2 linked regions of the Macaca fascicularis genome follow. The protein of the gene in region 2 interacts with the protein of the main gene of each other region in a pairwise test. Links are inferred from orthologs where the notes say so. Each region holds a gene or a part of one and is shown on either strand. Other genes may lie near its edges. The genes, in order: SS18 and NFKBID.

Region 1 (3,809 bases), on a different chromosome or scaffold from region 2:
AATTTTGGAAAATGTAAACTAATCCACAGTTTAATTAAAAGGTCAGTGACATGGTCTGGAAAGGGGATGCAAGTGGAGGGATTTCAAAGGGGCACAGGGAAAACTTTTGGGCATGATAGATACTCCATTATTTCGATTCTGCTGATGGGTTCACAAGTGTGTATAAACATGTCACAAAAGATCTGTATACTTTTATTACATGTAGTTTAATGGTATGTAAATTATATTTCAATTAAGCTGTTCAAAAAACTATGAAAAGGGTGGGGAAAAAGAGTGATGCAATGGAGGGTGCTACTGTGTTAGGTGGTCAGTGAAGGACTCTCTGAGATGATATGGTGACATTTAAGCAGAGATTTTAATAAAGTGAGGTTGGAGGCACTGCAGGCATTCAGGCAGAAGAGGGGGTAGCAAATACAAAGGTTCTCAGGTAGAAACTCACTTGATGCATATAAGAAACAGCAAATAGGCCAGTGTGACTGAAGCAGAGTGAATTAGGGCAGCAAGTAGTTGGGACATAAATAGGCAGGCACGAGGAGGGTAGCATAGGAGGTAGGAACACAAGTCCTATACGGCCTTGTAGGCCAGTATATCATATGGCTTTTACTTAAAACATCACAGGGTTGTAAGCACAGAGTTGACTAATGTCTTTAAAACATTACTCTGGGCTCCATGTGCAGAGTATCTTGTAGAGGAGGCAGGATAAAATCAAGAAAACCAAAAAGAAGGATATATTGCAACAGTCCAGATGAGTGCTAGTTGTGACTTTCAGTTGGGTGAAAGGAGACTGTGAAAAATGGCTAGATATTGGATATATTTTGAAGGAAGAGGTGAGGAGATTTGCTAATTGACTAGATGTTTGCTTTGCAAAGAGGGGCATCAAAGAGGACTGTAGGTTTTTAACCTGAGGAACAGGAAGAATGGAGCCACTGTTTATTGGGATAGGGAGGACCGATGGGGAAGTATCGTAGCAATTTCCACCCTTTTAATTTCTCCCCTTTTATCTTGCATATTGCTATAAGAGTAATCTGCCTAAACTACAATTATAATTATGTTAGTATTGGGTTTCAGAATCTTCATTAGCTTCATTGGCTCTTCCTTGGTACTTCACACTTAAATATAATATTTCCCAAGGAATATTTCTCAAGATCTGAGTTAGAAGCTCCTTCCACATAAATCTTAGCTTCTCTTATCTAAGTATTTATCACACTATATCATATCATATGTTTACCTGCCTGTAGCCATCTAGACTTAAGTTCATAAAGGCTGAGTCCATGTCTATCTTATTTCCCAATATGTTCCCAATCTTCACATGGCACTTGGCATACAATGGTTGCTCAATAAACATTTGCTTAATGAACGGCTTTAAGTTTAGGAGATTTGGAAATACATTGACTTAGAAAGGAAAATGGTGAGTTTAGTCTACAACATGCTAAAGCTGAGGGAATCCAAAGACAAGAGATGTTCTGTACATTTGGATAAAAAGGAGCTGAAACTGGGTTGAGAGGTAAGAGCTAATACTGAAAATAGAGGGCAGGATGATTCAGAGGCTAGAAAAAAAAAACAGAGTCAAGAACTGGTATTAGGGTAAAAAAAAAAAAAAAAGGAAAACCAATAAAAAAAAAAAAGAATGAACCAATGTAAACGCAAGAGGAACAAAATGGTTCAGAAATATAGAAGCTAAAGAAGACCATTTAAAAATGAAAAAGGAAAATGTGCCAATAGCTAAAGTGAGGTCAAGGAAGACCAAGATAGCTGACTATTTTACCTCTGCAGGACCTACTACAGTATCAAACACGTGGAGAATAAATTTTTGTTGAATGACGGAATACATGATCAGAATCTCACTTTTTAAAAAGTTCAGCTGTAGATTAGAATAAGCCTAAATTTGTTCTGCTCAGGAATCCTGCCTTTAAATACTCACTAGCCACAACTTATTTCACTTCTAAAACTTAATAAAACCTCCAACTGATCCTTATGTTTTGTTCGAGTATATTTTGGAAAAATATTACTTATCTATTCTTGCTTTTTGTATCTCCCTTGTCTTAAATAAGAAGTGCCAATACAAGAGGGTTGCAGGCGTGAGAGAGGGTTGATAAACGAACTGCTCACGCCTCAAATTCTAGTTACCACTGCATCTGAGTTTTTCCTCAAACCAGATACCCACGTTGGCCCTGAAAGCCTAAACTGCATATTAAAGACAGTTCCATGTTAAAAAATAACCTATTTTAGATAGTTTAAGTGGTGAACAAACCAGACCACCTTCACTGAAAAGCACAAACCTGAAACCAGCCTAAAGGAATTGCCATAATAAATCATTTCCATAATAATTCAGAGAATATATAAGTACATTCATAAAACAATGACTGTGGTACAAGTCTGAGGAGTTTAATGACAAAAAGAAGAAACTTAAATGAACACTGGGTTCAAGGGAATCAGTCATCATAGGATGAGATACACTTCTAAATATCTGAAAGTAGAATGACAAGTAGAGGAGAAATAACAGTTGAAACAATAGTTATGTGTGTGGAAGGAGGCAACAGAGGGCGGAAAGTTTGAATTTAAAGAGATGGGATATTACGGGTGTGAAGGAAGTGTAGTGGATATGCTGGAGTGAAGTGGAGTGCTAATGAAAGCATCAACACAGATGGACTCCACATCTCAGTAGCTCAAGGCAAAGTCTCAGCAATAAACATCAGGGAGGATCATAGAAATCACTAAGGTTACCAGAGGTTGGGAAGAAAAGGGATGAGAAGGGATCAAGGAGTGGGAAATAAATGAATTAACACTGAACTGTATGTACACTCAAAAATGGTAAATATGATAAACTCTGTATATATATTTTACCTCAGTAAACAAAGTATGCCTGAGGGTAAAGACCAGAGAGACAGAGAGAGAGAGAGAAGATATATGTAGTTGTCTTATGTTACGGCCATGTTTTATATGACAGAGTAACTATGATCAACTGTGTTATTAAATAGTATGAGACTCAAAAGTGACATACTTTTTAACAAATGTACCATAAACATTCCCTCATGAGGGAAACATGAGGCTTCAAGTTAAATTTAAAAAAAAAAACTTGGCCGGGCACGGTGGCTCACGTCTGTAATCCCAGCACTTTGGGAGGCTGAGGCGGGCGGATCATGAGGTCAGGAGCTCGAGACCATCCTGGCTAACATGGTGAAACCCCGTCTCTACTGAAAAGACAAAAAATTAGCCAGGCTTGGTGGTGTGCGCCTGTAGTCCCAGCTACTCGGAAGGCTGAGGCAGGAGAATGGCGTGAACCCGGGAGGCGGAGCTTGCAGTGAGCCGAGATTGTGCCACTGCACTCCAGCCTGGGCGACAGAGCGAGACTCTGTCTCAAAAAAAAAAAAAAAAAAAAAAAAAAGTTCACCTAATCAAGAGTGAACAAACAATGTGGCAATTCTGTAGCCGTTCAAACTACTTACCTGGTCGTATCCATAAGGCCTCTGCTGGGGTGGCTGTGGTGGTCCAGGCTGTGTTGGTCTATATCCTCCATACTGCTGACCTTGTCCCTGTGGGTAGTTAGGATACTGAGGACCTGGACCACCCTGTGAAGGACCTGCAAATAATTAACACAACAAAAACCCACATAACAAGTTAAGTCCCTGGAACTCAGGGAAGGATTTGAACTGGAGAGATGTTACAATATTTTTCTATCTAAACTTAAAAAAGATAGTTTGGTACCTTGATTTCCTCAAATGCTTTCTGAAATAAATCTGGATGGTAACAATAAGAGTAAAAATACTGTAATGCTACTTCACTGTAATTATTGTACTATGCCCTAGCCA
Region 2 (4,591 bases):
AGACGCACATCCAGGTTCCCAACATTTTTTTGCCCTAGAACCTGACTCGGAAATCAGGAGTCCCCAGCGCTCCTCCTCGAGAAGTCAAAGGCATCACCCTGGGCCGGGAGCGGTGGCTCACGCCTGTAATCCCAACACTTTGGGAGGCCAAGGCGGTTGGATCACCTGAGGTCAGGAGTTCGAGACCATCCTGACCAACATGGCGAAACCCCGTCTCTACTAAAAATATAAAAACTGGCCGGGCGTGGTGGCGGGCGCCTGTAATTGCAGCTACTTGGGAGGCTGAGGCAGGGGAATCACTTGAACCCAGGAGGCGGAGGTTGAGGTTGCAGTGAGCAGAGATCGCGCCACTGCACTCCAGCCTGGGCGACAGAGAGAGACTCCATTAAAAAAAAAAAAAGTCCCATCCATACAGTCTCGCTTTCAGGCCCCAGGAGTCTGTACCCTCAGTTCGTTCCTCTCGAGGACCTGGGAGCCCCGGTTGCCAAACTCCTTCTCACGACCCAGAAAGACAACCCTCACCCTTGAGCCTGGGTTCCGGCGGAGGAAGGGTTAAGCGGGGATTGCTGGGGGCGGGGGCGGGAGGAGGCGGCTCGGAAACCGCCCGGACGCGGCGCAATGACGCCACGGCGCTCACGCAAGGGAATCTTCCATCCTCCCCTTCCCCCTAGGCCTGTGCCCCAGGTGTCCTGCTCCGAGGCGAGGTGCGCGGCCGAGCGTGGCGCTCGTGGAATCCCCGCGCAAGGGGAATTCCTGCTCAGCCCCGCACGGGTGGCGATCCGGAAATCCCAGGGCGGGGCAGAGGCAGGGTCACCGCCAGCGTAGACCCCTGAGGCCAGGCTCCGGACCCTTCCCCACTGAGACCCGCGCCGATTTTAAGCAACCACGCCCCCCAGCGCTCAGCCCAGTCCCTCCTTCTAGGGTTAGGAGTCTCGGCTGCCAGCAACCCTTAGCACCTCCAAGGACCCAGGGGTCCAACCTCCCAGCCCTTTCACCCTCGGGGCACCGCGATCCTAGGTCCGCAGACCCCTGCACCCCCAGGACCCAGAAGTCCGAGATCCCAGCCGCCCCTCCGTCACGATCCACGATCCCCTCCTCCTCCAAACACCTAGGACCCTCACTCTCGGGACACAGGACTGACGCTCCAGCTCCGTCCCTCAGGGCCTCGGGAGTCTTTCGATCCTCAGTCCCTCACTCTCTTAGCGGGCCGAGCGTGCCCTACCCGCACCCGTTACCTCGGGGATTCCTTGGCGTGGATTGCGGGCCCCCAGGGCCGCGGCCTCGGCGCTGCGCCAGCCTCGCTGTTTCCCCCGCGGAGCCGCCGCCGGGTCCCCGATCTTAGGTCCGGTACCCGCGAGTTTTTAAACTAGGGGTTCTGGCACCGCCCAGTCCTGGGCAGGGCCCGCCCACAAGCCTGGGAGTCCCCGGGTCGCGCTCCGGCGAACGCAGTCCCTGAATGGGCAGGGTGGACTTGGGAGGCGGACTACTAGGTCCCTGGGGAAGGAGGGAGCTGGGGTCCAGATCTTTGGTCTGAAGGAGCCTAGGGTACTGGGCTCCAAGAGGAGGGGGATACTGGGGGGCCTGGATTTCTTTTCTAGTGATTCTCTCGCCTCAGCCTCCCGAGTAGCTGACACTACAGGCGCCGGACACCACGCCTGACTAATTTTTGTATTTTTAGGACAGACGGGGTTTCACCATTTGGCCAGGCTGGTCTCGAACTCCTGACCTCAGGTGACCCACCTGCCTTGACCTCCCAAAGTGCTGGGATTACAGGCTTGAGCCGTGGTGCCTGGTTGGGGCCTGGATTTCTGAGTCTGTCCAAGGGGGTGCTGGAGGCTTTGTCTCCTGGGTCCTGCCCATGGAGGTAGGGGTAGGAGTGGGAATGGAGATAGGGGTGGGGGCAGGGAGAATATTACTGGGTCCAGAGGGAGGGGAGGACTGGGGGTCTAGACTCCCAGAGAAAGGGCCTGTGGGTAAGGGTATAGGGTGTGGCTCAATTTCTTCCTCTCCCCTACATCACCCTTTTCAGAGGTCTGGTTTCATTTACTCATCCATCATTTAAAATAATTCATTGCAGCAGAGGAGGCATTTTGCTGGGTACTGTGAACTAAGTAGACAGGAATTCCCAGCCCTGGAGCTGACATTCCAGTGGGAGGCCACTGTCAGTTTCACTTGGTGACCTTTCACAGCACTGACCACGTTGGCCCTATTTCTCCCCTGCTTGTTTGCTTGCTTGCTTTTCTTTTCTTATTCTTTTTCTTTTTCTTTCTTGTTTTGGAGACAGGGCCTCACTCTGTCACCTAGGCTGGAGTGCAGTGGCAAAGTGGCGAGATCTCAGCTCAGTGCAACCTCCACCTGCTTCAGTCTCCCAAGTAGCTGGGATTACAGGAGCCTGACACCATGCCTGGGTAATTTTTGTATTTTTGTAGAGATGGGGTTTCACCATGTTGGCTTGAACTCCTGACCTCAGGTGATCCTCCTGCCTTGGCCTGCCAAAGTGCTGGGATTACAGGCATGAGCCACCACGGTGGTCTCTCCCCTGCTTTCAAGATGCCAAGCTCTCCGGTGTCCCCTCCCTTACTCCCTCTTTCTCCATTTCCCTGGCAGAGTTCCTCCTCTTCCCCCATTCAGTGTGTGTTGGGATGGAGGCAGAATCCTGTCTGCACTCACTTCCTTGGTGATCTCACCCAGTCTTGTGGCTTTAAGTAGCATCCATAAGCCATCAACCCCCAAATTTACATCTCCAGACCAGCCTTATCCCCTGAACTCCTAAATGCAGTGAGGTCATTCAGCATCTCCACAGGGAGATTATCAGGCATTTCCAACTCCGTGTGCCCAAACCTCGTCACTTTCCCCGCAAACCCACTTCCCCACCTTTCATCTCTGCCAGCAGACACTCCCATCTTCTCAGCTTTTCACTCCAGAAGGCTTGGCTGTCTAGGATCCCTCTCAAACACACCCACATCCATTTCATCAGCAAATTTTGTTGGCCGTACCTCCAAAATATTTCCAGATCTCCCTAGCCTGCACCGCTGGCCACCTGTCATTCCCACTTGGCCAGGCCAGCAGCCTCCCTGGTCTCTCTGACCCTCCCCCTGAGTCAGTTCACCAAAGGCAATAACGGAGACACCCCCTCAACAGACACAGGAAGCAGATGGCCTTGACACCAGCAGGGTGACATCCGCTATTGCTACTTCTCTGCTCCCCCACAGTTCCTCAGGACTTCTCTGGACCACAGTCCTCTACCAGACCCCTGCCAGACCCCAGCCCACCATGATCCATCTGGGTCACATCCTCTTCCTGCTTTTGCTCCCAGGTGAAGCCAGTGGTTACAGGGGATGGTAGGCAGAGTGTTTGTGAAATGGGTGCTTGGGTGACGTCTGTAGGGACGGGTGCTGAAAGTGGGGTTCTTTTCCCTGCACCCCTTCCCTTCTGGGAGATCCATTTGGCTTCAGAGCCTGGGTCCTTGGGGGCGGAAGGAGGTGAGGCAGGGAGTTCTGGAGGGGCTGCCTGTTAGCATCCCCTTCTCGTGGCTGGGTCTCTGCTGCCAATTCCAATTTCTTGTCACTCTCCATGTCTCTGGGAGTCCCCTTCCCATGTGGCCCTGTTCCATCTCTCCAACATGGAGATTACTTCTCAGGACACTACCTTTCCTTCCGTACACCATATTTTTTGGTTTGTTTGTTTTGAGATGGGGTCTTGCTCTGTTGTCCAAGCTGGAGTGCAGTGGCGCAATCATGGCTTACTGCAGTCTTGACTTCCTGGGCTCAGGTGATCCTCCCACCTCAGCCTCCCGAGTAACTGGGATTACAGGTGCGAACCAACACCTTCAGCTAATTTTTGTATTTCTTGCAGAGATGGGGGTCTCACTATGTTGTCTAGGCTGGTCTCGAACTCCTGGGCTCAAGTGATCTTTCTGCCTCCGCCTCCCAAAGTGCTAGGATGACAGGCATAAGCCACCGCGACGGACTGAGCATTCTGTTCTGTGGACCTTCTCTCCATCCTCATCTACCTTCTTTCTCTTTCCACAGTGGCTGCAGCTCAGACGACCCCAGGTGAGAGATCACTCCTTGCTTTTTACCCTGGCACTTCAGGTGTCACTTCCATCCCAGAAGCTTGGCCAGAGGCTCCCAGAACACCCCAGTTGCTCTCCAGGTCACCATCCCACCTCCCGTCCCCAAATCAGACAATCCGTGTCCTTCTCCAAGTCCCAGAATCGGCGACCCCCAGCCTCTGTTCAGGAGTCCCCCGTGTGCCCGCTGCACAGCCCCGAGGGTCCTGGGACACCCAGCCTCTCCGCATCTCTATCTCCTGTTTCATTCCCCAAGCGCAACCCTAGGGAACCTGGGACCCACCCCTCACAGGGGACTTCCTGTCTCCCTGTGACCAAAGCATAGCCCCAGGACGCAGAGCCTGACTGTCTCCCTGTTCCGGCCCCCGCTCTCCAGGCTCCTGTTCCGGATGTGGGTCCCTCTCTCTGCCGCTCCTGGCAGGCCTCGTGGCAGCGGATGCGGTGGCGTCGCTGCTCATCGTGGGGGCGGTGTTCCTGTGCGCACGCCCACGCCGCAGCCCCGCCCAAGGTAAGGGCAGG

What was found.
Region 1: the proteins of NFKBID (region 2) and SS18 interact in a two-hybrid assay, tested with the Homo sapiens proteins (2 studies listed by BioGRID and IntAct). The two-hybrid records come from large-scale screens. The link is inferred for Macaca fascicularis from reciprocal best matches to the Homo sapiens genes NFKBID and SS18.

What each region holds. Positions count from the first base shown.
Region 1 is NC_088392.1:63,745,360-63,749,168, reverse strand, and holds part of SS18 (protein SSXT), read right to left. Parts: intron 3,581-3,809; coding exon 3,447-3,580; intron 1-3,446. UniProt on the Homo sapiens protein: Appears to function synergistically with RBM14 as a transcriptional coactivator. Isoform 1 and isoform 2 function in nuclear receptor coactivation. Isoform 1 and isoform 2 function in general transcriptional coactivation.
Region 2 is NC_088393.1:43,133,320-43,137,910, forward strand, and holds the start of NFKBID (NF-kappa-B inhibitor delta), read right to left. Parts: upstream 3,040-4,591; 5' UTR 2,975-3,039; coding exon 2,875-2,974; intron 2,409-2,874; coding exon of another isoform or gene 2,401-2,408; exon of another isoform or gene 2,285-2,400; intron 1,343-2,284; exon of another isoform or gene 644-1,342; intron 547-643; exon of another isoform or gene 445-546; intron 1-444. Other genes in the region: HCST (hematopoietic cell signal transducer), read left to right, coding at 2,401-2,408, 3,213-3,316, 4,032-4,055, 4,449-4,580. UniProt on the Homo sapiens protein: Regulates the expression of IL-2, IL-6, and other cytokines through regulation on NF-kappa-B activity. Functions in the regulation of inflammatory responses.